Linked DNA regions of Canis lupus familiaris. The main gene of each other region encodes a partner of the protein of the gene in region 6 in a complex. Links are inferred from orthologs where the notes say so. Each region holds a gene or a part of one and is shown on either strand. Other genes may lie near its edges.

Region 1 (3,287 bases), on a different chromosome or scaffold from region 6:
GTGCCTCAGGTGGCTGAAGGCCCTATTCGGTGAAAGCCAGGCTTCTGCCACTGCCTGCTTGGCCTAGTGAGGATGAGGCCAGAGCAGGAAGCTCCCAGCGGCAGCTGGGGGCTCAGCCTGCGTTCCTGAGACCCTCCCCAACCACCATCTCCACCAACGGGAAGCAGCTGCCTTCGCTGACGCAAAGAGAGTATTCTGAAGCCCCAGCCACAAGCAAGCCTGCCTCCCTCCCACCTGGGACTCCCTGTCTATCTCACCATGCAAGTCACCTGTGCCCATGACACGCCTGGCATAAATCAGCAGCTAAAGCAATTCCAATTACCAAAGCCAGTGAACCCTACCAGGTGCTTCTATGGAAGAAGTGAGTGGCCAGAGTCGTCCTACACTGCTGTTCGTGGAGCCCCTTACTCTCTCATGCCTCTCAGACTGTCCTCTGGCCTGCGCACGTGAACCCCAGGGTGGGGGCAAGTCAGCAGGCCACCCGTGTGGGCGGTGCATTCACATACCTTTTCGTGCCACTGGAGTAGCACAGCGCTGCTGTTTTCTGTGGGCTTCTCAAACCCTTTATAAATGTACTTCATTAGCAAGTCAATGCCGTTTCTGTCCAGCGACTGCACAGCCTGCTCAATCTCACTGCTCTTGAAGTTGGTAAGCACCTTCAGCACCACGCCCTGGGCTCGTTCCTGTGAAGGAGAAGGAGGCAGCGATGCCCAGGGCCAAAGCCCAGGCACAGGAATGCCCCACCAACTGGTCAGAATTCTCAGAAACACTGACCAATTACTGACTTGTCTGGGCTGCTTGCAAAATAAGTGCTCAAATCCTCTCATTTATTTACATGTCAACATATCCCTTCTTTATGCCCATAAATTCTTCCACTAATCTGGGGGAGAGTGAGTGGTTTACTGGGGAGAAACCTGCCTCTATGACATGGGCCGGGCCTCAGATGCCACCAGATCACAGCTGTTTTCTTAACATGTCTATTTTCTTCACAGGTGTAAGAAAAGCTGCAGTCTCCCTCTGCACTCACCCCAGTAACACGGGGGGGGGGGGGGGGGGGGGGGGGCATTTCCCCCCACCAAGGAGGTGCAACCGCTGCTGACATCACCATGCTGTCACAAGATGGCAAAACCCCAGCTTCAGAGAGACCCCTCTCCCTGAACCCAAGTTCAGACAGCTTCTAAGCAGCTGTGATGCAGTAAGCATCTTCTCCCCTTCTTTTTAAAAGGCAGGAAATCTTGACTGAAAATCCTTATGCAAATAAAGCCTATTCAAAAACCTTTAAAGCAGAAACACTGCTAAGTCCCATGTGGCAAGCTAATTTAGAGTTTTGCTAAGCAGTAAGGGCTGGGCCAACTTCTCACCCCCATGAGGCCCTGGGGAGGAGTGAATGTTTCTTTGGGGAGCTTTTACTATAAACATAGACAGTTTTGATGTCAGGAGTGCCAGGAGGCTTCCATGGAAGCACTGCCCAGTGCCAACTCACTCTCTTGGTAGATCCTCACTGAGGTGGACGCAAAACAGACCCTGTCTGGAGCCCCAGGGAGCCCTCAGCTGCGGACACAGACAATCACAGCCCTGGTGCGAGCACCACCCAGCAAAGCGGCAGCATGATCCCCTTTACCTTCACAGCTTGATTCTTGGTGTTGACGGGAGAGTTCCGCAAGGCTGCATGGAATGCCCGAAGCATGTCCCCTGTGCATCACCACCAGTTAAGGATGGCTCGGCTCAAGCATGTCCACGCTTCTATTAATGAACTCATTTCAAAAACAGCTCAAAGGAGAAGAGTCAAATGACATTCACATCCACCACCACCCCCACACACACACTTCACTGCAGCTTCCAGGTGGCCACAGCCCATTTAGAGAGTAGCCTATAGCCTTCCTGAGCCACACAAAGAATAGAGAGCACCTCTGCCAATTGTGCAAGTCCCTCGTTCTGCTGCCCCCAAAACACATTTGGACATTTCTCCCCTACCATGGAAGGCAGAAGCAAAGCAAGTGCCCTCTGGGGGTGACCTGCAATAGAATCTGACTGAGCTCACTTGCACTTGCTTGGTACTGGGCACCATGTCTGCCCTGCTGGGTCCTCACGATGATGTGAGACTATCCCTCTCACATTCTCATTCTCAAAAAGGAAGAACAAAGGCACAAATGGAGGTCTCCTCTTTATCCACTGTTTCATTGGTTAAGCTGCTAAAGAAATTAAGATGTGCTAAAACTTCTATCTTCCAAGACCTATCCAGGTCTGTGAGGTCCCAACTACTAAGAGGGAGGTTTATTCATTTAAAAGCTTTTTCCCAAAATATAAGCCAAGCCTTCCCTCTCCCCTCAACCTTAGTTGCAATCTTGACACATTCTTTGCTGAGTTCTGAATACACAGCACTCAAAAGAAAATGACAATCTGGGTTAGGTCCCCAAAGGTGACACCTATTTTAAACTGAATTACATCAGCCAACTTTCATTTCCTCATCTACAACACTGGCTTCAGCCAAAAAGGTTCAAAAATAGAATAAGGAATGGCTTCTGCCCAAACAGGTCTCTACTCCTGTTTGTGCAGTGAATCCTACGTGTGAACAGACAAAGCCACCGGAGCAAAGCCCAGACCCATCTTCCCTAATATGGGCTCCATCTTGACTAAGCTGGGCCCACACCACCCAGGAGCCACTCCTGCTGAGCTCCCAGCTCCCTGCTGGGCCCTGATGCACCTTCCACAATGGAGGCAGCCCACTCCTTGTATCTGCTGGCTTGGAATTCCTTTTCCTCAGCCAGACAAGGGCCAGTCTGGTGTCAGCCACTGATAACGTCTACCTTGGAACTGTTTTCTGGTTTGGCGTTCCAGAGCAATTAATTAACAGAGACTCGGGAGTTTAAAAGAAGTGTAGGCTGGCTCTCTTCACTAACCAGTATGGCTGGAAAACAAAATCATTCAAGAGATGGATGGGGAGGGGCAGGTGAACTAGTCTGCAGGGGCAAAGAGTCACTGCTTTAGTTACCTCTGTACCAAGCAATCACTATAAGTGCTGATGGATACAGAGCCTTTACCAGCTTGGGGGATATCTGGGGAAAAGGGAATGCACAGCATTTATCAAGGTGGCCTCCGTGCTCAGCTCACAGAACAGGCTGTGGAGGCTACAGACCACTGCCCCTCGTCTCCTCTAGATCAGAATTTCTCAACCACAGCACTGACATTTTAGACCACACAACTGATGTGAGGTCTGCATGACATGGTGTTTAGCAGCATTGTGATAATCAAAATATCTCCAAACAATGCCAAATTTCTTCAGGGGG
Region 2 (5,120 bases), on a different chromosome or scaffold from region 6:
TATCTATATGCAGCCATTAAAAAAGGTGCTTATAGAAATAAACTTACTGCCAAGGAAAGATGTCCATGTATATCATTAAAAAAGCCAATTACAAAACTCCCTTTTTATTTAAAAAACAACTACTAAGAGACAAGCTCTGTAAGCATATAACACCAGAAAGTAAAGACCGATGATCTCTGGGCAGTGGGATGATGACGATTACCCCTTTTTGCCTCTCTCTGAGTTTTCTATAAACATTTAATACTTGGATAATTTAGAAAAATTTTTAAAAAGCAACCAAATAGAATCTATTTATTTTGTAAAAGTATTGTTTATTCTTCAGGCCTATGCTCCAATTCCTCGAGTGCCTCCATTAAACACACTGAAATGGTCTCTCATAACTCAGTATTAGAGTGAGATTATTTTCATATGTAAATTTTTACCTAACAAACTACACAGAGTAAGCTCCTGTATGTCAAAGACAATAAACAGTTAAACTATTTGTTGATTCCATGATACTTCAGAGGATTTTGGAAAGAATGCTAAGACACCAGCGTCTGACTCACCTTCACGGCCTGACTCTTGGTGTTGATAGGGGGATTTTTCAGAGCTGCCTGTAGGGCGGCTGTCATGTTTCCTGTGATGGAGGTTAAGGGGATAGCAGCAAAGGGGAGCCTTCAGAAAAACATCGGAACTACCAGGTATCATTGGTTCTTAAGACTTGACTTTATACGTAGAAAGAAAAATTACCACGATCGCTATGTTCAATATTGGAAAACTCAGTATGTTGGTTTCAAGGATGTCAATCACATGTAAAACACAGAGAACATAAGAGGAGGTAATAAGGCAAAGACCAGTTCCGGCCTGGCTCTAATTACTAAATGAACACTTCGAGAGCCTTTTATTTTCCAGTAAGACACATATGAAACATTATTCAGAGTGATACGTATATTTTAAATTACATATCTACGTATTAGAATTATTAGGTCCCCAAATGAAACAGCATACCCTCAACCAAAATGTCTTTTTATGTGATTCTTAACTGGAAAAATATGGACCAAACTTTTGCTAGAATTATATTCTATCTTAATTGAAATACTTGTAGAAAATGCTGGTAATTATTCCAGCACTCTACATGATACACATTAGTAACCTCTCAATATTAACAAAAGATCTAATAATTCAATGTCCTTTAGGCTGTAGCTTAATTTTTCTGTTTTGCATATTTTCTCTTATACTTCCAAAAAGGTCATTGACACTGTTTTAGGTCATACCTATTAAATTTAGTCTTTGAAAGCACCAGTGAGTTAGCAAGTATGAGACACGGAAGGCCAATCAGACTGTCAGAATATACAGTCATTCCCCTAAAAGGAAAACCACAGAGTTCATTTGTTCCTCCATCTGTAGTGCCTGACTAGAGCTGGTCTCTTCTGGTTGCAACAAGAGAAGAGACAATATCTTTTAAGATAAAGAGATTAGAAAGCAGATCCATTTTATGGATCCAGCCGTACCAGTTGAGAGTCAGCACCCATCAACCTAAAGTTAGTTCACAAAACGTCATTTATCCATTACAAAGAATGTTTTCAGACAGAATAATGTTCATTGCTTATGTTTGGAAAAAAAAGAACAAAACAAAACCAAAACACCCCAAAACAAAAACCCCCTATGGCTGGTGGTAAGCTGTTATTTCCAAGGCTTAACAAACTTCTAGAAAAGCTTCCTTTGGCAGACTGGCTCATTTTTAAGACCTTAAAGCACTTACGTATTTAAATAATGCAACAGAGCAACAGCTGACTGTGAGAGTTGTGGAAATCAAAGAAACATCTGTATGTTGGTAAATGTTTAATGCTGTATTTTAGGTGCCTTTAAGACTAGATATAGTCACAACCAATATTTTCACTCCTATTTCCCCATTATACTTTAATAGAACATTGATGAGGAGAGGTTTAAAAAGTCTTCCCTATCTTATGAATACATTCAAGAATAATTAGAAGTGAGTGAATTCAGTAATTGAGAATCTCTAGAACTACAGCTTTAGCTGTTGCAACATTTACATTTTTCTAAAAGAGATGTGGTGCCAAATACTCGCTCAACACTGATGAATATTCAAATATGCAAAAAAAAAAAAAAAAAAAAAACAACACCAAAAACCCCAGGAACTGACAGCCGCATTTTAACTGAAATGGAAATGGATTTCAGGATTGCAAAAAATAAAAAATAAAAAAAATAAAAAATGATGCTGCTTTGCGCAAAATGACTCATCGTCTATTTTGCTCATCATCTACTTTATTCACTGGGGCTTATCTTAAATATTTCCAGGGATTCTCCACCTGCCATCCCTGTGCATTGTCCCCTTGCTTCGCAGGTAGAAGCCTCCAAGCTTCCTTGTCGGGAGCTGGCCGTTTCGTACTCACTCCGTTTCCCCGGGGCTAACACATTCGTATCTGCAACAAATTCCTTTCTCTGTAAATAACTATAATTATTAAAAGGGCCCAGGGGCTAAAAAGGCCAGGGGGCCTCGACCGTGCACACCGCCCCATGCCTCCCCGCGAGGAATGAACTCTCCTAACGCGGCCGAAGAGCGAACCGCCAGCACCACGACGCAGGCAGCCCGCTCCCCGCAATCGCACACCTCCGGAGGGGCGGGGGGACCTCCGTGACCTCGGGCCCGGGCCCCTGCCCCTCCCCCCGGGGCCGGCGGACAGCAGCCGAGGCCTCCCCTCCGAGCCCCGAGGGCGCGGCCGCCCCGCCGCTTCCCGGGGCAGCGACTCGGGCCGCCACCTGAGGAGTCGGGGCGGGGGCGGGCTCCGGGGTGACCCGGGGTGACCCGGGGTGACTCGGCTAGACGCGGGAGCGCCCCCGGCCGCCCGTCCGGCGGACCCCGCAGGGCCAGAGCCGCCGCCCCTGCCCCGGGAGCGGCCCGGCGGGCGGGGTCCCCGGGCGGGGTCGCGGGGTCCCGGGGCGGGGCGGGGCGGGAGCGCGGGGAGGCCGGCAAACGCCAAGGATATTGCCGCAGGCAGGAGTCCACCTCGCCTTCGTCGGGCCCGGCCTGCCCGTCGCCCCCGTCCTCCTCGTCCACGAACTTGTTCTCGTCGTACTCATCCACGTCCACCTTCCGGAACCGGGCCGACGACACCGTGTTCTTCGACATCGCGAGCCGGACCGGCGGCCTAAGCCTCCTCTCGGTGCTGCCTCGCCCTCGGGAAGCGCAGCCCACCAGGAACCCGCAGCCCGGGCGCCTTCACTTCCCTCTTCCGCTCTGGGGCGTCGCCGGCAGCCGCGGCTCGGACGCTTCTGGGCCTGCGCGCTGGCGGCGCTCCTTCCTCCTCGGCGACATGCTCTCCGCCCGCCGCCCACGCCGCCCCCGCTCCTCCCGGGCGCGCGCGCGAGGGACGGCGCGCCGGGCGCAGTGCGCAGGCGCGGGCTCGCGGCAGGAAGGGGGCGGGGCGGGGCGAGGGAGGCGGGGGCGGGCGGGGGCGGGGCCGGGGGCGGGCCGAAAGCGGCGCCGCGGGCAGAGGTGAGAGGCGATTGGCCGTCCGCGGGCGTCACGTGATCCCCAGGGGGTTTCCATAGCAACGCTTCTCTGCGGTCCCGCGGAAGGGGGGCGGCGGGGGTCTTAGGCTGGCGGCTATGGGCTCTGGGGGCGGGTGGCTCCTGCTGCCGCCGCCGCCGCCGCCGCCGCCGCCAGCGACCTGTCGCCGGGGTCCTGCGTGAGGTCCGGCTGGCCCGGACTTGCCTGTGGGGTGGGATGGACTGGTGGCCGGACCGAGTCCCCTGCAGTTGGCAGGAGTATGGGGCGGAGTGATGCGCGCCCGGGCGCCCAGCGTCGGTCTAGTTGTCAGAGGCATCACTTGGGACCGTGCGCTGCCCGTGGCTGCGTTCCTGAGCCGGGAGCCCCTTTCCCGGGGCTGGAGCTACGCCGCGCGGCCAGCGGGAAGTCCCCAAGGACGGAGTCGAAAGGTCGTCTCTTATCTGGCTGTGCTGTGTGACAGCATCCCGACGGCACCTGCAGAGCCTGAACTAGGTATCATCTCCTTGGGGAGGGAGACGGAGGTTCTGGGCAAGGGCTCGCGTGGCAGACCTGGGGCGGACCTGTGGAATTTGGGGTAGGGTCAGTCACCGGCATCTTAAAAATAAGTGGTGGTTTGGAGCAAGCACGGAAGAAAAGGATAGGGGCGAGCTATGCCCTCCGGTGCTGTGGGGAAACAAAACGTGTGAGGATTAGTAGGTTTGAGATGAAGATTTATATTTGTGATTTGAGATTTATATGATCCTGCTAGGCCAGCTTTTTATTACATTGGACATCCTCGTTTCTGAGAGCAAAGCCCTTACTGAGGAGGCAAAGGCACTAACACTAAAGAAATGGTAGTTGTGCTGTGTGTGTAACACCGAAGCACAAATATTTGCAGAATAAAATTATTTTGGACATTTAGCTGGACGCTGCTCAGATAGCTTTATGTTTTCCTGACATCCTCTCAGGTCTCGTTCAATTCCACCTCTAGCAGAAAGCCAGCTGTTGCCCTGTTGATACCCCAATCCTTGGTTTCCTGTGCTGTATTGAAACGAGCCCTGGACTTAGAATCAAAAACCCTGGCTGAAGTATTGACTTCCACTCATAATCTATTTGATTGAGGCATGCCACTTAAAATCCTCAATTTCAGGTTCCTCGTTGCTAAAGTGGAGCTAATAATAACGTACTTCGCGAGATTGTTCTGAGGACTAAGTACGGGAAAGTGTTCTGAAGCTCTAAAATTCTACATAGATGCAAAATGCATGTTACTTGTACCATTGATTTTGGCGTTAGTCTTACGAATTACTTAATGACATATCATGTTTTATCTTGCTCCTGGAAGAGATCAAAAGATTCTGGAGGGCAAAGACTTGCCTTTTATTTATTTTGTATCTTGCTTTACATCTGATGTAATGCTAAGCATGCAGGCAGTGCTCAATACATTCTGGTACTCAATTATTCATTGATGAATGAATAAAATGTGAAAGGCAGTACAGTTTGAAAGTCACACTGAACATAATGAATCAGTAAGAAAAGGAAGAGAGATCTCAAAATCAAACATTTGTGGGACAGATATGCATACATATGTATATATGTATAGCTGTATCTACACTGACATATATACATAGTT
Region 3 (5,014 bases), on a different chromosome or scaffold from region 6:
GGCTCAGAGGTTGGGCATCTGCCTTTGGCTTGGGTAGGGATCCCGGAGTTCCGGGATCAAGTCCTGCATCTGGCTCCCTGTGGGGAGCCTGCTTCTCCCTCTGCCTGTGTCTCTGCCTCTCTCTCATGAATAAATGAATAAATCTTTATATTTTTTTTAAAAAAAGAGTTGCATGCTCTTCCCACTGAGCCAGCCAGAAGCATCTATGTTTTGAGGAATTTTGAAAAATATTGAGGCAAGCTGGTTATTAAAAACAGCCGTTAATGGGATGCCTGGATGGCTCAGCAGTTGAGTGTCTGCCTTCGGCTCAGAGTGTGATCCCTGGTCCAGGGATTGAGTCCCACATCGGGCTCCCTGCATGGAGCCTGCTTCTCCCTCTGCCTGTGTCTCTGCCTCTCTCTCTCTCTCTGTGTCTTTCATGAATAAAGAAAATCCTTAAAAAAAAAGCCATTATTAAAAATTAAATTATGTAAATTTGCATTTAAGTGCATTATATTGAAAACAAATGTGATAAATGCTGAAAATTCATTACTTCATATTTTTAAAAATTATTTTACTACTGTCTATGATCTTAAGGTTATATATAACTTTTGTATCTTTGTGGCAGAAATGCTATATAATGGTGTGCTACTGTGCATCTTCCAATCCCATATTCGGTGATATCACATTGGTAACTGGTGGGAGTATTTATGCTATGGAAATAGGCAGACACTATATAAATCAGGGGTACATCACCCCACCAGCTCTTGTTAAACCAGAACCCAAACACTGGCTTTTCAGTTCTGCCACTTCCTGGCTATGTGTTTGACCAAGACATCACTTCTCTTCACCTGTTTCCAAATTCATAAAAAGAAGAGTTATCTACTGCCCTCAGTGAGTTAAAGGAGCAGGGAAAATCCCATTTATTTATTTATTTTTTATTTTTTAAAGAGTTTATTTATTCATGAGAGAGAGAGAGAGAGAGAGGGAGAGAGAGAGAGGCAGAGACACACAGGCAGAGGGAGAAGCAGGCTCCATGCAGGGAGCCCAATGCAGGACTCGATCCCAGACTCCAGGATCACGTCCCAGGCACCAGGCAGAAGGCAGGTGCCAAACTGCTGAGCCACCCAGGGATCCCCGATGTCTGGCTTTTAGTAACAGAAAAGCCCCATTCATATATTCATTCATTTACCAAACGATTATCAAGCACCTTCAATGTGCAAAGCATCATGAAAAAATGGTATGCAAGACCAGTATCTCTGCCCCTGAAGAACTTTCAGGCTAATGGAAGAGGCAGATATTAAATAAGTTATCGCAGGGAAATCCAGGAATGAGCACAGGACTTTAAAGTCCTAGCCTTAAGGAGCACCTGGGTGACTCAGTTGGTTAAGCATCTGCCTTCAGCTCAGATCACAATCTCAGGGTCCTGGGACCAAGGCCCATGTTGGGGTCTCTGCTTAGTTGGGAGCCTGCTTCTCTCTCTCCCTCTGCTCCTCACCCCTGCTCAGGGCTTACTCTCTCTCTTCTCAAATAAATAAAATAAATAACTTTATTAAATAAAATAAAATTAAAGTCATAGCTTGAAATATTGCAACCTTGGGTAAGTTATCATACTTCTCTGGGCCTCAATTTCCTTCTCTGCAATACGGGAACAATAAGCATGGACTTCACAGGGTTATTGTGAGGATAACATGGAGTAACTTACATGCAGTGTATAGTTCAGGGCCAGTCTGGCACACGTCAGGAATTGAATGGTACCAACAAGACTCATTAAGTATCTCTAACTATAGCTTGCTCCTCTTTGTCATCAGTAATCCTTTACCTAAAGCAGCCTCCACCCTCTCCTTCACTAGCTGTCTTGTTTGTTACCCATCTATTTCCTTCATTGCATTTGTCACTACCTAAAACTATCTTAGGGACAGCCAGGTGGCTCAGTCGGTTAAGCGACAGGCTCAGGTCATGATCCTAAGTTGGTGGGATAGAGCTTCTGGCTCCACACTAAGTTGCAGACTACTAGTCCCTCTCCCTCTGCTGCCACTTAACCCCCTCTCCCTGCTGGCACTCTCTCTCAAAAAAAAATCTGTAAAACTATCTTTTTCAATTTACATATACACGTTTGTGCTGTCTCCCCATTAGAATGTACACTCTTTGAGCCTAGGGATTTGTTGGCTTTATTCACTGCTGTAACAGTACTTGGCATGCAGCAGGTACTCAGTAATGTTTTTTGAGTGAGTTTATCACGTTATTGAACCTCCTTTACCTCATCTGCAAAATGGAGACCATGATGGTGGTGAATTCACTCCACCAGACTGGCTGTCAGAAATGAAGGACAACCAGACACTACTATCATCTTGCTCCTACTCTGATGCACACGAAAACAGAAGCATTTGGAAACCAGGAGCGGACCCTGCGTCTGCTCTGGCGGCCCTACACCCAGCAGCTAGGGGTGGCCGCCACTGCTGGGGAGACAGAGGAGTCCGGGAAGTGGGGTATGGCAGTGACAAGCAGCGGGAGGAACCCGCCCCCTGGGGCCAAGGAGGAAGTGGGCCTGTGGGGGGAAGAAAAAGCAGCCGGATCCTAGACTTGAAAAATGGAAAATAAAAAGCACAGCCCTTGTCTTCTCGGCTCCAGTGAATCTTTGGGGATTCTGCTGGAGTCGGGGGATACAGAAAGAAGGAGAGAAGGGGCAGCACTGCAGCGAAGAGGGCGAGAGGGGCCGAGCCAGCCTCCTCTCCACGCTCAGGGTCTTTGGCCCCAGGTGCTCCGGCCCCGTCCCCCTCGCCGACACCCCCGGGCAACCCCATCCTACAGCCACAGGCCCCTCTTCCTAGCTTCTCCCCTTCTCAGGCCCCGCTTCTTCTCTGCCCTCCTCCGCCCACTTCTCTCAGCTCACGCATGATTTCTCGCTGCTCTCCCAGTTCTCACCATCTCCCACACTGCGAATTGGCCTCCTTACCGGCATCTTGGCGGCGACCGGGTTTCTAGCCAGACGAGGCTGGGGATAGAGCTCGGCGCTTCCTGTCCGGCGGCCCGGGCGGGGTAGGCGGAAGTGAGCCGGAAGGAGAGGGGGAGGGGAGGACGCGGCACTTCCGGTCTCGCGGTCCCGCCGGAAGCTGCTGCGGCTGCGCAGGGACGAAGGGGCGCCAGAGGGCGCCCGAGCACTGAGTAGGGATTGTGAGTGCCGTGCATGGTAAAGTGTGCGCGAAATGGGGCTAGATCTTGGGTTTCAGAATCCTCGGCATCCACCACTTCCTTGATTTTTCCTCAAATTTCATCTTTCTAGGAAAGCATTCTCTGGATCACATTATTTTAAATTCAGTCCTACCCCACTCCTCTGCGTCATCCTGATTTCCTTATGATTTTTTTTTTTTTAAGATTTTATTCATGAGAGGAGGACAGAGAGGCAGAGACACACACAGGCAGAGGGAGAAACAGGCTCCATGCAGGGAGCCCGATGTGGGACTCGATCCTGGGCCTCCAGGATCATGCCCTGAGCTGAAGGCAAGACACTAAACCGTTGAGCCACTGGGCTGCCCTGTTTTGTTTTTTTTTTAACCTAATCTTAGAAAGCACTTCAAATGTTAGTTTGACTTTCCTTTCTTCTACGACAATAAAATTTCTAAAAATTATGCAGATCAGGGTGTTCTCACCCTTTCATACTCAGGGCCACAGACAAGAGTCCTGACACAGGACAGCACATTCCCATGATGCCCATTCAAGTTCTCTCCTGCTGGCCGTACCTCTCCACCGTACAATAGCTCACCTTGATGGACTAGGATGCAAATACTTGACTTATGCCCCTGGCCTAACCTCCCAGACACAAGTTACCACTGATAGCTGTGGTTCTTCACACATGGGGCATCTTTAGTTAAAATGGATCAAACGTGACACTGCAGGTGTACTCCTGCTACCTAGCCCAAGAATGATGAAAAATTTAACCTGTTTCCAGTTTTCTGTAAGGGTTTAATTTGTATCAGCTGGAAGATCCAGGCCCAAATAGCCAAGGAAGACTGGGCTGTAATGAGGATTAAATGAAAGAGATTATGTAAAATGTTTCTTAGCACAAGGTCTGGCAGAACTCAATAAATTAGATTCTGCTTTTCTTAACAGGGCCTAGCCCATCACAGATGGACTAGACACTCCCCATTGCTTTCATACCCAATGCTACTGAAAATAAACAATTCAATCAAGGTGCAATTCTTTTCTTTAAGAAGAAAAAAATGTCTTTTGCCTTTTTTGTGCATCTGCTATTATTACCCAGGAAAGTATAAATTTTTAAATGCTCAGACACAATTGCATTTTTAAAGAAATCACTGGCTACATTTTGACAGTTGGGCAAATTTAGTCATTCAAAAATTTGCCCTGGATGAGTATTTCAGATTCTGACTAAAAAACAGGAGTGTAATGAAAAGTTAGCACTATTTTTATATTTATTTTATTTATATACATATGTTTTTTAAAAGTTAATTTTCATTTAATTACACAAATGATACATTTTCAAATATAGGAAAATTCAGACATACAAATAAGCAATGGTCTTAACTATATCCTAGATTTTTTCCTTTGGACACACATGTGTATATTGTTATAATAATTCCTGCCTCTCCAAAAAAACCCTCAAAAATAACAAAAATCAAACAGGAAAAATAAAGGTAGACTGAGTCCTAACTGTACCACAGATGCTCATTTATATTATATGCAAATCTATGTGCATTCATTTCAATTTCAACATTTAAAATCTAAATTGATGCTGTAAAAATACTACTAAAAGATTCCACTTGAAACACCAGCCATTTCAGAATAATTACAACTTGATTTAGGCATGCTGCTGATAAAGAGCCAAGTATTGCCTTTTTCATTAAATAAGTAGCTTTCTAGTATTGCATCTTTTGAAAAGAAGAATGTCTTGGTTCAATTGAAAGTGTTTCAGGTATAGTTACTCTGAAAAATTCTTCATTCATTTTGGTGTCCTTGAAAATATTCATCAAACATAGAAGAAGATTCATCTTCATGTTCCTGACACAAAAGAAACACA
Region 4 (4,856 bases), on a different chromosome or scaffold from region 6:
TTTTTCTACAGTACTGTTCCAATGCAGACAAAAAGTGTGTAGATATGATATCAATGCGAAAAAAAAAAACAGTTATTTCTAAATTCTTATCAAAAGGAGTTATTTTCTTATACGATCTGAGCTTAGGTGATTATCTTATGTTGAGATAAAGGATCTTTGCTGCAGGATTTCTAACTTTAAGCCTGGGGATTAAGCTTCATGTTTCCTAAGGCTTACAGCTTTTCTTGTGGGAGAACACCAAGTTTCATAGCCGGCCACTTTTTCCTGTCATCTTTTTCCTAACTTATATAATGAAATGGAATGATCATCCAGATTCAGGTTATAACTCTTCATTTATATTAAGTGGGTAATTGTAATTACAGACCAAATAGATGAATGCATTCTCTAAAGCACAAAGGAACACACAAATTATAGGTGAACAATTTGCATCTGGGGACCACAGTACTCTGAAACATAAAACTCCCATGAAGGCCTTACTTAAATATGCTTATCGCAGGCCCAAGCTCAATGAGCCATCCTCTATGTGCTAATAAAGCTGCAGGTATAACTTTCCAGGAGTTGCATTAGATAGCCACCACAAAGGACCATGAAACCTTTAGAAGACCAAAATAAATGGAGCTCTGACAGATGGTAAAAAAGGTGGGAGACAATGGGGACTCCTAATCAGTTCCATTTAAACCATGAGTGCCCATTAAACCACCTCACCTTGTGAAGTAAAACTAATGCAATAAGGTAAAATATAGTAACGTAATAATTGAAATACTAAAACAAAAATAATCCTAAATGTAGACTGAAGCCCTTGGGGACCTCCCGGACACTCAGCCTGTCTTAAATTCAGGGTTGCCCTAGCAGGAGGAGGTCAGCTAAGGACAGTCAACCTCAATGATTAATACCCGAATACTAACTCAAAAATAACCAGAATTTATTTCAAAAGGGGAAAAATGGGGGAAAAGTAACATTCTAGTTACCATTAGCACTACAATTATCCACACTAATTTTATTAACCCAATAATTTCTAAAGCATAAAATATTAATTATATAACAGTATTTCTCACTTTAACAAAACACACTTGAGGGACACCTGGGTGGCTCAGTGGTTGAGCGCCTGCCTTCAGCGCAGGGCGTGATCCTGGGGTCCCAGATAGAGTCCCACGTCGGGCTCCCTGCATGGAGCATGCTTCTCCCTCTGCCTGTGTCTCTGCCTCTCTGTGTATCTCTTATGAATAAATAAATAAAATCTAAAAAAACAAAACAAAACACCCCACACTTGAAAATTCCTTCTCACTCAGGACAAATCTAATTTTAAAACTGACCCTAAGCATGAAACTACTCCTCAACTGGATCGGGGGGGGGGGGGGGGGGGGGGGGGGGGGACCTGAGTCAAGAAAATTAGGATTAAAAAAAACAATAAAAAAAATATATATATACAAAAAATAAAAATAAAAAAACAATAACTTTAATAAGCTGTCCATCAAAACAATACATTTAGAAGTTCCACGGCTAAAAGTAGGCTGGTATTTTCCAAAGGAGAATAGGAGAATGTTAATAAATCGGCTGTTTCCACATGCATGGCTGGGATTTTTGAAACTGTTACACTAACAAAGTCGTGAGTATGAAGATTAGAGCTTTAAAAAAAAAAATAGAGCCGTTTTACGGGGAGTAAATGGAAAGAGGGGCATACACAATCCTTGATGCAACGAAGGTCTGCTGGATGATAGAAGGCAGGGAGCAAGGGCTGACACTCTACCTCTCATAACCGACTCCCCCTCGGTGTATTATTTTGCGAATTAGGAATGAAACAATGTATCAGCACAGGACGGACACACACACCCTCCCAGCGCTGCAAGGGAAACAAGTCGTTCCACGTTAAAGTACAGACTATTTCCTATGAAAACAACAGTGTGCCAAAATCCCAAAACGCCTATTCATACACTTCAACGCCGTTCTACACGTCTACACGCGACCCTGCGCACTGGAACCCCCCGAAAAGCAAGCGCACCCCGCGGCCCCACAGCCTCCGAGGCCCCCCCACCCCCCCCACCCCCCCCCGGCGAGCGCGCGGCCTCAAGGACTTTCCTGGGGCTTCCCTTCTCCCCCCCTTCCCGGAAAACACTCGCACGTCTGTGTTCAAGTCCCTACAAACTGATGTCGAGGGCCCGTAATTCAATCCATTTCAAATATGCTCAATCCTAAAAGTTCTAATACGAGGTGTTCAGGTTGGAAATGAAAAACTACCTTATAAGGGTATAAAGGGCTGAAAGCAGGAAGCGGCTTTGAGAAAACTAAGGAAGTTGCGGCGCGCTTGCTCACTAGGGGACTTTTTTTTTTTTTCCTTTTTTTTTTTTTTTTTTTTTTCTGTCCGAGGCAAGACGAGTTAACACATGACATCCTTCTCTCTCAAATTAAAATGTGCCCGTGGCTCACCGGTGCGAGCGCAGGAGGCGGGGAAGCCCGGGGGTCGGACGAGGGGCGCGCGGCCCGCCCGGTGGAAGCCGCGGCCCCGGCTCGCAGGTTCGGCGCCCGGGCGCCCCCTTCCCCGCCCTCGGCCCGAGCCGCGCGGGGTCCCCGCGACCCGGAGCACCCGCCCGGCGTCCCCCGCCCGTCCGCTCGGCCCCGGCGCGCCGGCAGCAGGAGGAGCCGAGGGGCCGGAGGCTGAGCGCCGGGCCCCGCAGCGCCCACCCGCCCGCGGCTCCGGGGGCACCTCCGGGGGGACCCCGCCGGGACCCCCGCCCCCGCCCCCGCCCCCGCGGGTGACGCCCGGCCGCACCGCGGCCCCGGCCCCGCGCCCCACCCCCGGCAGCCCGACGCCCGGCGGCCGCACCCCGCCGCGGCGCATCCCCGCGCCCGCACCCTCGCCGCCATCTTCCCAGCTCCGCCTCAGTTTCCCCACCCTCCTTACCCCGTGCCACAGTCCACCACACAGGCCGGCAGCCGTCCCGCCATCTTCCTCCTCGCCTGCCGCCGCCGCCGCCGCCGCCGCCGTCTGCTCCGTGCGGATTGGGGCCGGAGCTATCTGACCATCCACAGCCGGGCCGGCCTCTCCGTCCGGGGGGAGCCGGGAAGCCGAGGCAGCAGCGAGCAAGCAGCAGGCTCGGCCAGCGGCTACCACTTCCGCAACCCGGGCGGGCAGGCAGTCCCCGCCCTGCCCCGCCGCGGCCTCCTCCCCCTCTCTCTCCCCTCCTCCTCCCTCCGGCCCCCACCCTACAACTTCTTCCCCCCGCGCCGCCTGGCCCCGGGAAGCCAAGATGGCCGCCGGCGCCGCCGCCCCGGCCAGGCCAGGCCCAGGCCGCCCGCGCTCCCCCTTCCGGCTCCGAGCGGGAGGGGCGAGGGAGCATGCGCAGTGACGTGGCCCCGCCGGCCGCGGCGCCCGTCCCGACGTGAGCGGAGTCCGCTCCGGGCTTTCCCGGACGGGAGGGGCGGGGCGGGGCGGGGCGAGCGCCCGGGGCTCCTGGAGCTGCGGGAGCGCCGCGGCGTCCGTGCCTCCTGCGCTCGCCGCCCGGCGCCTGCCCCCGCAGCCCCCCGCAGCCCCCCGCGTCTTCTCCGGGGCCCCGGGGAAGACTGGCCCAGTAGAAAACGTCCTGAGCGGCACGACACATTCTCGTCGCTTGGAGACGCTGCTTTTCTGGGTGGAGGAGCGCGCGGGCAGACGGAGGGCGAGCGGTCGGGAGGGTTGGGGCGAACAAAGGCTTGCAGCCGGCTGCTCCGCCTTCCTGCCGGTTTCTAGGCTTTTGCACCTGTGCGTGGGGACATTGTCTGGGTCGCAGACGCCCGGGGGCAGGCCTGTCCCCGCGAGGAACACACCCCCCCCGGGAGCACCTTCCACATCACGCACTCTGCGCGGATAGTCGGTTATTCGCCGCTTTCGAATGATGACAAAGATGCCCTCAGCAGTTTAAGATTCTGCTGTTTTGCCGGCAGGATTATGCCGATGATCAAGGAGCGAAAATAATGATAATAATAAGGGGGAAAAAGGTCACATACTGGACAGCCTAGAACAATGGTTTTCAAATTTAAGTGTGCATCAGAATTACCGAGAATGCTCGTTAAAACCTTGATTGCTAAAAACAAAACACACAAAAAAAAACCTTGATTGCTGGGCCGCATCCGCAGAGTTTTTGTGTAGGAGAAGGGCCTGGTAACTTGCATTTCCAAGACGTTCTCAGGTGATGGTCTGGGACCCCACCTGGGGAACCTAGAAGTTTAACAGCTTTCCACCAGGCTTGTCTTCTGATAAATCTTCCATTTGCTTATATGGCTGAAATAAAAATATTTTCCCTAAGAAAGGATGTCTTATGCACAATGGTAAGTTGTTAGACTGGGCAGTGGGATGGAAAGTGGGTTTTTCATCCGTTTGACATGTTAAGTATCGCTCACATCCTCCATTATGGCAGGGATCCTGCTGCCTCTGAATAGTCTTTGGGCACAAAATACAGAAGGTCCCTGCTCTCAAGAGTTCACAGTTTAATGGGAACATATAAATTGTGTTAAAAGCATTAGAAGAGAGCAACAGGCTACAAGATACAGAGATGAGGGTGGGAGAATGTGAGGGAAGTAGAATATAGGGAAGGCTTCTCGACAAAGTGACATTTTAAAGGTGAAGTAGAAGATAGGGGAAAGGGTGAGGAGGAAGGGGAGCCGTCCAGAAGGGGGAACAGCAAGGGTCAAGGGCCTGAGGTGGCAAAGAGCTTGGCCTCTTTCACAAATTCAAAGACCTAAACGGTCCAAGTGAAGTGAGCTAAGGAAAATGCAATGGGAGGTGGAGGCCGGGAGTTAAGGAAGAATCACACCACAAGGATTTGCAGACTTCTCCACCAATCTTAAAGTTTAGCCTAAAAGCAGCCTGGAAGGCATCAAAG
Region 5 (5,043 bases), on a different chromosome or scaffold from region 6:
AGATGAAATGCATAAATGGAATCAGGTAAGTTTTCCTTCTCTAGGCCACCCACCCTAATTGAGAGAGACCCTAGTCTAGGTGGGAGCTGGTGCAGAAGAGACGCTGCAAGACCAACATCTGGCACGTGATCTGTAATCTGGCATGTAATCCTAAGAACTCACCCACTTTTAGAAAATTTGAATCAGGGCCTGCCAGCAAGGTTAGACAAAATCATCAACTTCTCAAATTGCCTATAAGTCTAAAACCTAAAATGTGTAAAAGGCAAGTTGCTTTAAGACTAACAACTATTGGGATCCCTGGGTGGTGCAGCGGTTTAGCGCCTGCCTTTGGCCCAGGGCACGATCCTGGAGATCCGGGATCGAATCCCACGTTGGGCTCCCGGTGCATGGAGCCTGCTTCTCCCTCTGCCTGTGTCTCTGCCTCTCTCTCTCTCCGTGACTATCATAAATAAATAAAAATTTTAAAAAAATCTTAAAAAAAAAAAAGACTAACAACTATTTACATAAGTTTTTAGAAATTAAATTTGAACACCTTAGTATTTACTTGTAGATAACTCAGTATAGCTTTAGGTACCTAAACTAAATCAAGAGGACTATGAAATATAAGCAGTAAGAAATAGAGAATTTCTGTATTTAGAATACTCTAAATTTTCAGAAATATCACAGCATTCCTAGCTACATATTACATCAGAACTATTTCTTCATTTGAAGCCAGTCAGGTCTATAGAAAATTCAGATAAATTTTTAAAGTAATTAGAAATGTAACACCAAATACATAAATTTTGTTCAAATTAACTACATTTTTCCTTTACTGATCTCTTAAAGTACAAGAATCTTAAATTATGGATTAGCCATAAGCCTAATCAGTAACATACAATCAGCTTTCTACCTCAGGTAAACTAATGAAATAGTAATAAAAAAAGAACTCATGGCTAACACTCCTATTCTAATTGAATATCAAAAAGCTCATACACTACAAATACAGAGCTCATTATCATTCGAAGAGAAGGAATCCACTGAAATATAAAGGCTCTGATTTCTAAAGGGAATATAAAATATATCTACAAAAATATTTTAAATTCAATTTTTAAAGTCTTAGATTTATTTAGAGGTCAATTTGAGACTACAGGGGGAATCAAGCTACTTTTTTTTTTTTAAAGCACCTTTAACTGACTTTCAGCTATAAAAGTAATGTTTGTAGTTAATTTGAAGAGTCTCATGTTTTCTTAAAAAACAAAACAGACCACTTTCGAATAATGCAGAAGAGTCACAAAGCCTTTCCCATCTTCCCTCCCTCTTATCCCCAAACTCACAGGGTAACCTCTACGAACTTATTTCTCCCTCTAAAACTTTAGAAGTTTGTGGACACAGAAACATATTTACATGTTTCCATAGTGGTGGATCTTTTCTCTTTCTTTTTTTTTTTTTTAAGTATACGATTTTGAACGGATGTCCCATGATTATATCTCTTCTTACTCTCTTGTTTTTAACTTAGTTCATACAAAACTAATATAATCATCGCTTCTGAAAGTCTGTAAAACAGTAAGGGTAGTATTATGCCAGTAAATATCAGCTCTTTTATTTTTCATCCCAACAATCCAATTTCCAGAATATTTTAAAATTCAAGTAAAAAAATTTTTTTTCAGGTGTACAACGTAGTGATTTGACAACTGTATGTCGTGCCTCCCACACCACAGATGTAGCTGTCATCGGTCATCATATAAGTGCTGTAAAGATGCCACTGACCAGATTCGTACTTGTCATCCCTGTGATTTATCCACTTCATAACTGGAAGCCTATTTTCTTTTTTATTTTATTTTATTTTTTTTATTTTATTTATGATAGTCACACAGAGAGAGAGAGAGAGAGAGAGAGAGAGAGAGAGGGGCAGAGACATAGGCAGAGGGAGAAGCAGGCTCCATACACCGGGAGCCCGACGTGGGACTCGATCCCAGGACTCCAGGATCGCGCCCTGGGCCAAAGGCAGGCGCCAAACTGCTGCGCCACCCAGGGATCCCTGGAAGCCTATTTTCATTCGTATGCTACATTTATGGAAAAAAGAGGAGAAAAGTCATAAAATACCCTAAGTCCAAAATGATTGGAAATCATTGCAATGGGACAGCCCAGGTGGCTCAGCTGTTTAGCGCCTGCCTTCGGCCCAGGGCGTGATCCTGGAGACCCTGGATGGAGTCCCACGTCAGGCTCCCTGCATGGAGCCTGCTTCTCCCTCTGCCCCTCTCTCTCTGTGTGTCTCTCATGAGTAAATAAATAAAAATCTTAAAAAAAAAAAAAAAAAAAAAGAAAAGAAATCATTGCAATGTAGGGGCAAATGATCACTACAGAACTCATCCATCCCAGTAACACTTCTGTCTCCTAATGTGCCACTCCAAATAGGTTGCGTTTTTTTTTAATGGGGGGAGGGGTTTGAACGCAACAACTTTCACATGATTTCTAAATCAGTGTTTAGCCAATTTTTTTTTTTTTTTAACAATCGTCTGTCTTTTGGAATCTTAAAAACTTAACATGATCTGTGTTTCTGCATCTAAGGAAGTAGGATGGGGGAGGGAGTTACCAGAATTGGTGAACTTCCCCTGCAAGGTCCACAATGAACACTTGAGCCTTAGTGGGGGGGGGGGGCGGGGGGTGTCCCAGATCTCCCAAGATCAATGGACACAGACGTGCCTCTGCGGAGGCTGCACCGAGGCCAAATTCCCAGCCTGCATAACAAAAAGTAAATGATGCTTGGCTCCACGCTGCTCCCTCACCCCCGGGTAAGGGGGGAACAGCTCCAAAAACTGCGGCTGCCCGAAAACTGCGAAAGGGCTGCGGCTCGTTGCATGACAGCACTTCCCCCTTTTTTTTTTTTTTTTCTCTCCTCGAGCTCGTTTCCTGCCTGCCGTTCGGTATCTTCAATTCTACAGGAAGAGGAAGGCCCTCCTGGTGCTTCTCCCTTCTACAGAAGCAGCGACCCTGGGGAACAGAATCCTCATGGAGCAGACCTACCTGCCCGGCCTTTGACCCCTGCAGCCCTCTAGCCAGAGCATCCCCGTTGGGCGCGGCGGCGGCGGCCGGGCTGCAGGCTGGGTCCCCCCGGGCCTCCCCATCCCCCACCCCACCCCTCCGCCTCCAGCGTCCGCCAGGCCCGCCGCCCCGACCCCGAGCTGCCCCGGGTCAGCTCGCCCCCCACGCCCGCGGAGGCCGGAAGCGCTGCCCCGCGCCCCCGGGTCCCGGCGGCCCGAGGGCCCATGGGCGCCGCCGCGAGCGCCGAGGGCCGCCGCGCCACCAGCACGTCCCCGGCCGGGCGCTTACCCCGGTGCCGTTGTCGCACACCACCACCTTCCTGCCCTGGCTGTCCATCGTCCTCCCGGAAGAGAGCCGCCGCCGCCGAACGACCTACAGCCCCCGCCGCCCGGCCCTTTCCTCTTCCTCCTCCTTCCTCGCGGCCCCTCCTCCGCCCCAACTTTCTTCCACCAACCGGAAGTCTCCGCCCGGCCCCACCCGCCGTTTAAGACACGGAACGCACGGAAGGGGCGGGGATAAGAGGGCGGAGACAGAGACTGGCAGGCGTGAGGTCCAATAAGAGGCGGAGACGCGACGAGGCCCCGCCCACAGATCGGGTTTCCGCCGTCGCGGTCACCGCCCACCCGGGCTCTTCCTCGCTGCTTCCGGTTCCGGGAGCTTCGCCGGGCTTTCATGGCGGCGGGGCTGGCGGGTGCTGCGGTCCCGGGCGTCGCAGGAGTTGAGGGGGCTGCTTAGCTGTCTGCAAAAGAGGCAGGCAGGAAGGTGAGGGACCGTGCATCCGTGGCGAGAGGAGACAGCGGAGCGGGCGGACGCAGGGGAAGCAAACCTGCACGTCCCTGCTGACCCCACCTTTGAGCACGGCTTGCGGTTGTCCTTGCTCCCCAGGCCTCTTCGGGGAACAGAACTGGGCTGGATACACACACATGAAGTCATGCGTTTGTCCTGATATCTCCCAATTCCAGCCCACCCCCCACCCTTTTTGCCCAATTTGCCTTTAGTCAAGAGGGCGGTAGTGGGCACCTACCTTTTTAGGCCCGTGGCTCACCACTTCCTTTCCAGCAGCACCCCGCTGCTCCACACTCTCCAGTGTATGCACCTGTTTGCACCCAGTCTCGGCTTCGAAATCCAGCAGCACCTCGCTACTCCACACCTTTCCAGTGTATGCACCTGCTTGCACCCAGTCTCGGCTTCGAAATCCAGCAGCACCTCGCTGCTTCACACCTCACGCCTCTCCAGTGTATGTACCTATTTGCACCCAGAGTCTTGGCTTCGAAATCCAGCAGCACCTCGCTGCTTCATGCCTCTCCAGTGTATGCACCTGTTTGCACCCAGAGTCTCAGCTTCGAAATCCAGCAGCACCTCGCTACTCCACACCTCTCCAGTGTATGCACCTGCTTGCACCCAGTCTCGGCTTCGAAATCCAGCAGCACCTCGCTGCTTCACACCTCACGCCTCTCCAGTGTATGTACCTATTTGCACTCAGAGTCTCAGCTTCGAAATCCAGCAGCACCTCGCTAGTCCACACCTCTCCAGTGTATGTACCTATTTGCACCCAGAGTCTCGGCTTCGAAATCCAGCAGCACCCTCGCTACTCCACACCTCTCCAGTGTATGCACCTGTTTGCACCCAGAGTCTTGGCTTCGAAATCCGACGACCCCAGTTTCAAATACGGCCCTGCCACTCAAGCATTCTGTGATTTGGCCATACCCTCGCCTATGCATTGGAATGCTAACCTCTGCTTCCATGGCTGGTTGTGAGGATAAAATTCCATGCATAAAGTATCCATTCAGTGGTAGCTGTTTATTATTAATTACTTCTAAATGTATCGTTCTTTCTACCTATAATGCCTCTACCTTTTTTTTTTTAAATCCAATCAGGAGATGTCTGCACATCTGCACAAAGATGAAGACTTTGCTGATAACCCTCAAGATGCTCTTTGCTCTTTTTCTTCACTAATTAGTTTATCATGGATATATGCATAATATCGCGCTCATTACACTCAACAAGTATTGGATAAGTGAT
Region 6 (5,097 bases):
CTGAGGCCATGGCCTCCAGGACACCCACCCACTTGTCAAGGCAGCCCCGTGAGCCAGCACCATGGGCCCATTTGACTGTTGAGGACAGAGAGAGGAACCGTGTTGGGACTTGGAGTCCACGTGCAGTGATCTGTGCCTCATTATCCCAGAAACAGAGGCTGGGGGAGTGTGGGTCAAATGTGGAGTCTCCCCTGGCTGGCTCCCCTCTGCCAGCCTAACGCCAGGATCTCTGTGTTCCCAGCGGCACGTTCCCTGCGTCCTTTCAGCACACAGTGAAGGCTCAGTACAAATGGGCTGGAGATTACCCAGGGCTGGGCGTGGGAGAGCACAGGGAAGAGCGGCATGAGGTCTGGGAGGGGTTTTGGGTCTCCAGAGTGTGGTTTCCATCCAGAGGGTGCCATGCCAGAAACCATGCACCGGGGTATGGACGCGAACTATCTAGGGGCATGGTAGGTGCTATGTCCACCCACGTATCCTCAGCACCAATTAGAGTTCCTGGCACATAACAGGTGCTCAATACGTATTTCTTGAAGGCAAATTGAATAAATCCCATCCTTTTCTTTAGGGGATAGGCTCCAAGGAATGAATATGCTTTATTATTTCAGTGACATATGTATGCAATTTGTAAATATTTACTGGGGAGTATGTGTTCAGTTTTGTTTTGTGTTCTTCCTGATTAGGGTCAATGATTAGCAAAACTTGGAAATCTGAAATCTAGAAGATCCTCTGCTGAGCACTTGGGAAGAACTCAGCTCCCCTCAGAGCAAAGCAAGCCAGGTAGAGCCTTGGGCTGCCTGACCGAGGGCCTCAGGGCTCCTTCCTTACAGCGTTAGGGTCAAATTCTAACTCTCCATACCAACTGGATGCCCTCAGCCAATACTTCCTTCACATCTCTACCAGAAAAGGTGGGGGCTGAACAAGGCACTAGCTGTAGGTTCCTTATTGCTTCTAGAAAAACCTGGCCAAGGTTCTCTGAAGCCAGAGGTTTGGCTGTATCTGAGGCTAATCTAGGCAGGAGCCATCTGGAGCAGGATCTTGGCCCTACAGGCACTCAGGGAAGTCCCCACCCAGCTCAGACGCTCCAGGGAGTTGCCAGTAAGCCATTTTGTACACGTGCTAAGCAGTTACTCAACTTCCTGTTGTGTATGGAATAGGCCTTGCCACCCCAGACCAGCCAAAACCTCCTCCCCAACTCTGCTCCTGAAGTCTTAACCAGGCAAAAATCAAGTCAAGACACATAAATGAAAACAATCATAGAAAGCACCATAAAGCGTACTAATAAAGCAATCCAAACAAAACAAAATCCAAAAACACATAAAACTCAATGTTGGCAGGGTTGTGGAGAAATTCTCATTTGTTCAGCCTTTCAGAAGAGCGATGTAAAAACAATTCAACAACTGGGTAGGAACAAGCAGAATAACACAAACAGGAACTTAAAAATTAACACTCTTTGGTGGCATAGATTCATTTTGGTGCTAAGAAAATAACCACCGACTTTTTTTTTTTTTTTTAAGCAAACATGTTCATAATAACCCCCTCTAGAATGGTGGAAGGGTGGAAAAATCCAGATGACTACAAATATGGCAAGAGTAAATTGTGACACTAACATGTTGGGATATCATTTAACTATTTGAAAAGACCTGTGTGGATTATGTACATAGACACACATAAACTACCTTTACCGGCATCTTTAAATGCACAGCATTTTTACCCACAGCTTTGACATACATTCTTTTACCCCCAAGAGCAAGCCTAAAGGGTTGTTTTGGGTTTCTTTCGTGTTTTTTTAAACCTTCATTTTGTACATGAGGAAAAAGACTCAGAGTCAAGAATCGGGGATGCCTAGGTGGCTCAGTAGTTGAGCATCTGCCTTTGGCTCAAGTCATGATCCTGGGGTCCTGGGATTGAGTCCCACATCAGGCTCCCCTCGGGGAGCCTGCTTCTCCCTCTGCCTGTGTCTCTCTGCCTCTTTCTGTGTGTGTCTCTCATGAACAGAGATATAAAATCTTTAAAAATAAATAAATAAATAAATAAATAAATAAATAAATAAATAAATAAATAAATAAAAACAAACAAGAATCTCTCAAAGCCACACAGCTCCTACATGGCAGTTTGGGATTCTGACCCCCAAATCTCAGAGGTTAGCATCATCCAGACACTTTGGTAAGTGCGGGCAGGCCCTACAATGGTAGTGGCAGCAGGAAGAGCACCGACCTGTACCCAGCGTGTGCCTGGCACAACCCAGTGCCTTCCACACACAATCCCAGGTAAGCCTCGCCACTTGAAAGGTCCCCATTTTACAGAGGAGGAAGGTTGAGGTCCAGAGCCGTCAGGTGGCCTGCTAAGGAAGCTGGCGCGCTCAACCCCGGCCCGGGGGCCTCCCGGGAACCGGTGCCCGTGGCCGGGGCAGCACCACCTGCCAGGCGCGGGGGCCCGCCGACGGCCTCCAGCTCAGCGCCGCGTTAGGCGGGCGGCGGGCTCCGGGCTCCGGGCTCCGGGCTCCCGCTAGTCCCGCCGGCCTTGCTGTCACCGCCCCGGGCGGCCCCGCTGGGTCCCCGCCTCCGGCGAAGGGGGACCCCCTCCGGGTAGGGTCGGCGGCCCCGGCCCCGGGGCGCCCGGAGGGCCGGGGCGGGGGGCGGGGGCGCGGGGGAGGGGCCAGGTGGGCGGGGGCGCCAGCTCATTTCCCGGCCGGAGCAACCCGGAAGGCTGGAGGATGGAGGGGAAGTGACTGGGCGTGGGGCCCTCGCCGCCCGGAATAGCGGGGGGCAGCGGCCGCGGGGTAGAGCCGGGGAGCGCAGGCCGGGCCAGGGCGCCCCGCGCTCCCCTCGCCCCGAGGCGGCCGCCCACCCCGGGCCCGGGCCGCCGTCCCCGCCCTGCTCTCGCCTCCGGGCGACCCCACGCACCTGGCGAGCCCCCGCCCCGGGCCCCTTCCCCCGGGCACCCCCTCCCCGCGCTCCTGCGCCCCCGCGGGCGCCCCGCACCCTCCCCACCTGCAGGCAACTCCCCGCTACCCCCTGCGGGCGGCCCCAGCCCCCTCACCTCGGGGCGCCCCGGCCGCGGACTCTGGGCAGTCGACGCGCCGAACCGGCTCTGGGCCCCGCGCGGCGCCGCAGCCACTTCCTCGTGGGCGGGGGCGGGGCCTCAGCCTCAGCCCCGCGGGGACCGGGGCGGCAACCAGGGTGGCGGCCAGAGCCCAGGCCCCGCCCACCCATCCGGGGTGGGGGCTGCGCGGAGCCCGGGCGCCCGGCGCTCCTCCGCAACCGCCCCTTGCAACTTTACGCGCGGGGAAACTGAGGCTCGGAGCGGCAGCTGGGCGGGGTGCGCGCCTTCCCTCCTCCCGGAGCTGATGGCCACGGGGCGCGGCAAGTGCAGGCCCGGGACCGGGTGCCCGCGGGCGGGCGGGCGGCCCCCGCCCCTCCCCCGCCCCTGCCCCGCCCCCCGTGCCCGCCGCAGCACCCTCCCGGGGCCGGGTGCCCGCGGGCTCGCACTGACGACTTCCTGCCCCTGGATCCGCCGCAGTCCACTCCTGCCTCCCAGCTGCCTGGTGGCCTTGTGGCCACATGCATTTGGGTCTTGGGCCGAGTGGTCCCCAGGGGTCTTTCTATCCTTAGCCTCTGCCTCATCGGTGGAGATGTGACCAGGTGGCTGCGCGGATGGGGGAGCCCCCGGCGAAAACCCCCTCCTGCGCCCTCTCTTAGCGGGGGGCTCCTCCCCAGGAGTCCTCCCTCCCAGGCGCAGGCAGCAGCAAGCCGCACTGGGGCTCTGTGGTCTTTCCGGAGGCAGGGGATCGGGATCTGGGGCCAGACGCCCACCCTGACAGGTCCCGGGGCTTTGACACATGGTTTTCTTTCTGCCTGGAACACTTCCCCCCCCCCCCCCGTCCCCCCCCTGCAGGGTTTGTCTCTTAGCTCACTCTGTCCACAACCCTCTGCCCTGGAGGTGACTGCGGGGCTCCCAGCAAGACCCTGCGCCCACCAGTCCCGGCTGCCATCAACACTGAATCCTGCCCCTGCAAGGTGGCTGGGAGGATTCCATGTCTCCAAACGTGGGAGCTCTCCCAGTAGTGAGCGCGCAGTGAGCGCTCAGCAAGCTTCGGCTATGGTTTGAAAGGACCAAAGGACCGCCAGCAGCCTTCCTGGCTGAGACTCTGAGGGGCTGGCGCCGCCCTCCCATCTAGCTGTGGCCAGTCCCAGCATGGCTGCGGGATGAACAGAAAAAGTTTCAGATGATCTGTACCAGCACCCCCTTCTTGTGGGGGACAAGTGCAACTTAACACAGAGGGCACATCTGTTGCCTCCCTGGCTTCTAGATGCCCAGGGAATGACCCCAGGGGGAGCTGACCCCCACCTCTGGCATGGGCCTGATGGCTCTAACCCCATCGGCTCCTGGGGTCCCCTGTCCTGAGCTCATGAGCTCAGATGGCCAGGGTAAAGCAAGCCCAGGACATGATGATGATGATGATGATGATGATGATGATGATGCTGCTGCTGCTGCAAGCCCAGGACATGATGATGATGATGATGATGATGATGATGATGATGATGATGGTGGTGGTGGTGGTGGAAGGGAGGGAAGACTCTTCTGGGTGAGCTGCAAGAATCTGAACACGAAAGTGGAACAGCACAAGGGAAGCTAGATGACATAGAGCTCAGGTGGAGGAAATCCCAGAAATGACCAGCACCATGGTCAAACTCTGACTGGTCAGCTTGAGCCCAACCAGCTTCCAGAGGTTTCAGACCACTGGGACCGGTGAGCCGAGGACTCTACTGTTTAAGCTTGGTTTGGGTTGAGACTGTGTTACCCATCTCTAAAAGCATCCGGACACATCTAAACACCTGAGGGTTACCTCCTCATGGTGAAAACAGATTATAAACTCTGTGAGCGGGAACCGGGTTGGCTTTGCTCTGGAAGCCCTCCTGCACCTGGCGCTTGGGAAGCACTCCTCGTGCACCTGCTGCATGAGTGGATGAAGGAAGGAACCCCGACGAGTAGTCTTAGATAAATGAGCTTCGCACAAGGCACTCCTCCTGCAGGGCTGCCTCCATCTCGGACTCTGCAAAGTGAGGCAAACTCAGGATAAGCACTGCGGACCCCCCT

The links.
Region 1: the proteins of ARPC1B (region 6) and ARPC5L are in contact, whole or in part, in a cryo-EM structure (PDB 6YW6), measured with the Homo sapiens proteins. The link is inferred for Canis lupus familiaris from reciprocal best matches to the Homo sapiens genes ARPC1B and ARPC5L. Residues at the interface, in NP_005711.1 of Homo sapiens: Arg118, Lys138, Arg142, Phe164, Ser201, Gly203, Trp204, His222, Asp223, Ser224, Thr225, Leu240, Ala241, Ser242, Glu243, Thr244, Leu245, Pro246, Phe281; in NP_112240.1 of Homo sapiens: Asn21, Lys22, Arg102, Gly139, Leu140, Gly141, Ile144, Arg145, Thr148, Arg150, Lys151.
Region 2: ARPC1B (region 6) and ARPC5 share a complex: the UniProt entries of both Homo sapiens proteins name them as parts of the arp2/3 complex. The link is inferred for Canis lupus familiaris from reciprocal best matches to the Homo sapiens genes ARPC1B and ARPC5.
Region 3: ARPC1B (region 6) and ARPC3 share a complex: the UniProt entries of both Homo sapiens proteins name them as parts of the arp2/3 complex. The link is inferred for Canis lupus familiaris from reciprocal best matches to the Homo sapiens genes ARPC1B and ARPC3.
Region 4: ARPC1B (region 6) and ACTR3 share a complex: the UniProt entries of both Homo sapiens proteins name them as parts of the arp2/3 complex. The link is inferred for Canis lupus familiaris from reciprocal best matches to the Homo sapiens genes ARPC1B and ACTR3.
Region 5: ARPC1B (region 6) and ACTR2 share a complex: the UniProt entries of both Homo sapiens proteins name them as parts of the arp2/3 complex. The link is inferred for Canis lupus familiaris from reciprocal best matches to the Homo sapiens genes ARPC1B and ACTR2.

Annotation. Positions count from the first base shown.
Region 1 is NC_049230.1:58,229,308-58,232,594, forward strand, and holds part of ARPC5L (actin-related protein 2/3 complex subunit 5-like protein), read right to left. Parts: intron 1,695-3,287; coding exon 1,622-1,694; intron 684-1,621; coding exon 507-683; intron 1-506. UniProt on the Homo sapiens protein: May function as component of the Arp2/3 complex which is involved in regulation of actin polymerization and together with an activating nucleation-promoting factor (NPF) mediates the formation of branched actin networks.
Region 2 is NC_049228.1:16,863,336-16,868,455, forward strand, and holds the start of ARPC5 (actin-related protein 2/3 complex subunit 5), read right to left. Parts: upstream 3,308-5,120; 5' UTR 3,131-3,307; coding exon 2,988-3,130; intron 619-2,987; coding exon 546-618; intron 1-545. UniProt on the Homo sapiens protein: Component of the Arp2/3 complex, a multiprotein complex that mediates actin polymerization upon stimulation by nucleation-promoting factor (NPF).
Region 3 is NC_049247.1:8,505,663-8,510,676, forward strand, and holds the start of ARPC3 (actin-related protein 2/3 complex subunit 3), read right to left. Parts: upstream 3,014-5,014; 5' UTR 2,942-3,013; coding exon of another isoform or gene 2,936-2,941; 5' UTR 2,908-2,935; coding exon 2,905-2,907; intron 1-2,904. Other genes in the region: GPN3 (GPN-loop GTPase 3), read right to left, coding at 4,933-4,995. UniProt on the Homo sapiens protein: Component of the Arp2/3 complex, a multiprotein complex that mediates actin polymerization upon stimulation by nucleation-promoting factor (NPF).
Region 4 is NC_049240.1:36,616,202-36,621,057, forward strand, and holds the start of ACTR3 (actin-related protein 3), read right to left. Parts: upstream 3,269-4,856; 5' UTR 2,944-3,268; coding exon 2,900-2,943; intron 1-2,899. UniProt on the Homo sapiens protein: ATP-binding component of the Arp2/3 complex, a multiprotein complex that mediates actin polymerization upon stimulation by nucleation-promoting factor (NPF).
Region 5 is NC_049231.1:65,985,258-65,990,300, reverse strand, and holds the start of ACTR2 (actin-related protein 2), read right to left. Parts: upstream 3,493-5,043; 5' UTR 3,358-3,492; coding exon 3,310-3,357; intron 1-3,309. UniProt on the Homo sapiens protein: ATP-binding component of the Arp2/3 complex, a multiprotein complex that mediates actin polymerization upon stimulation by nucleation-promoting factor (NPF).
Region 6 is NC_049227.1:10,284,646-10,289,742, forward strand, and holds the start of ARPC1B (actin-related protein 2/3 complex subunit 1B), read right to left. Parts: upstream 3,187-5,097; 5' UTR 3,040-3,186; intron 1-3,039. UniProt on the Homo sapiens protein: Component of the Arp2/3 complex, a multiprotein complex that mediates actin polymerization upon stimulation by nucleation-promoting factor (NPF).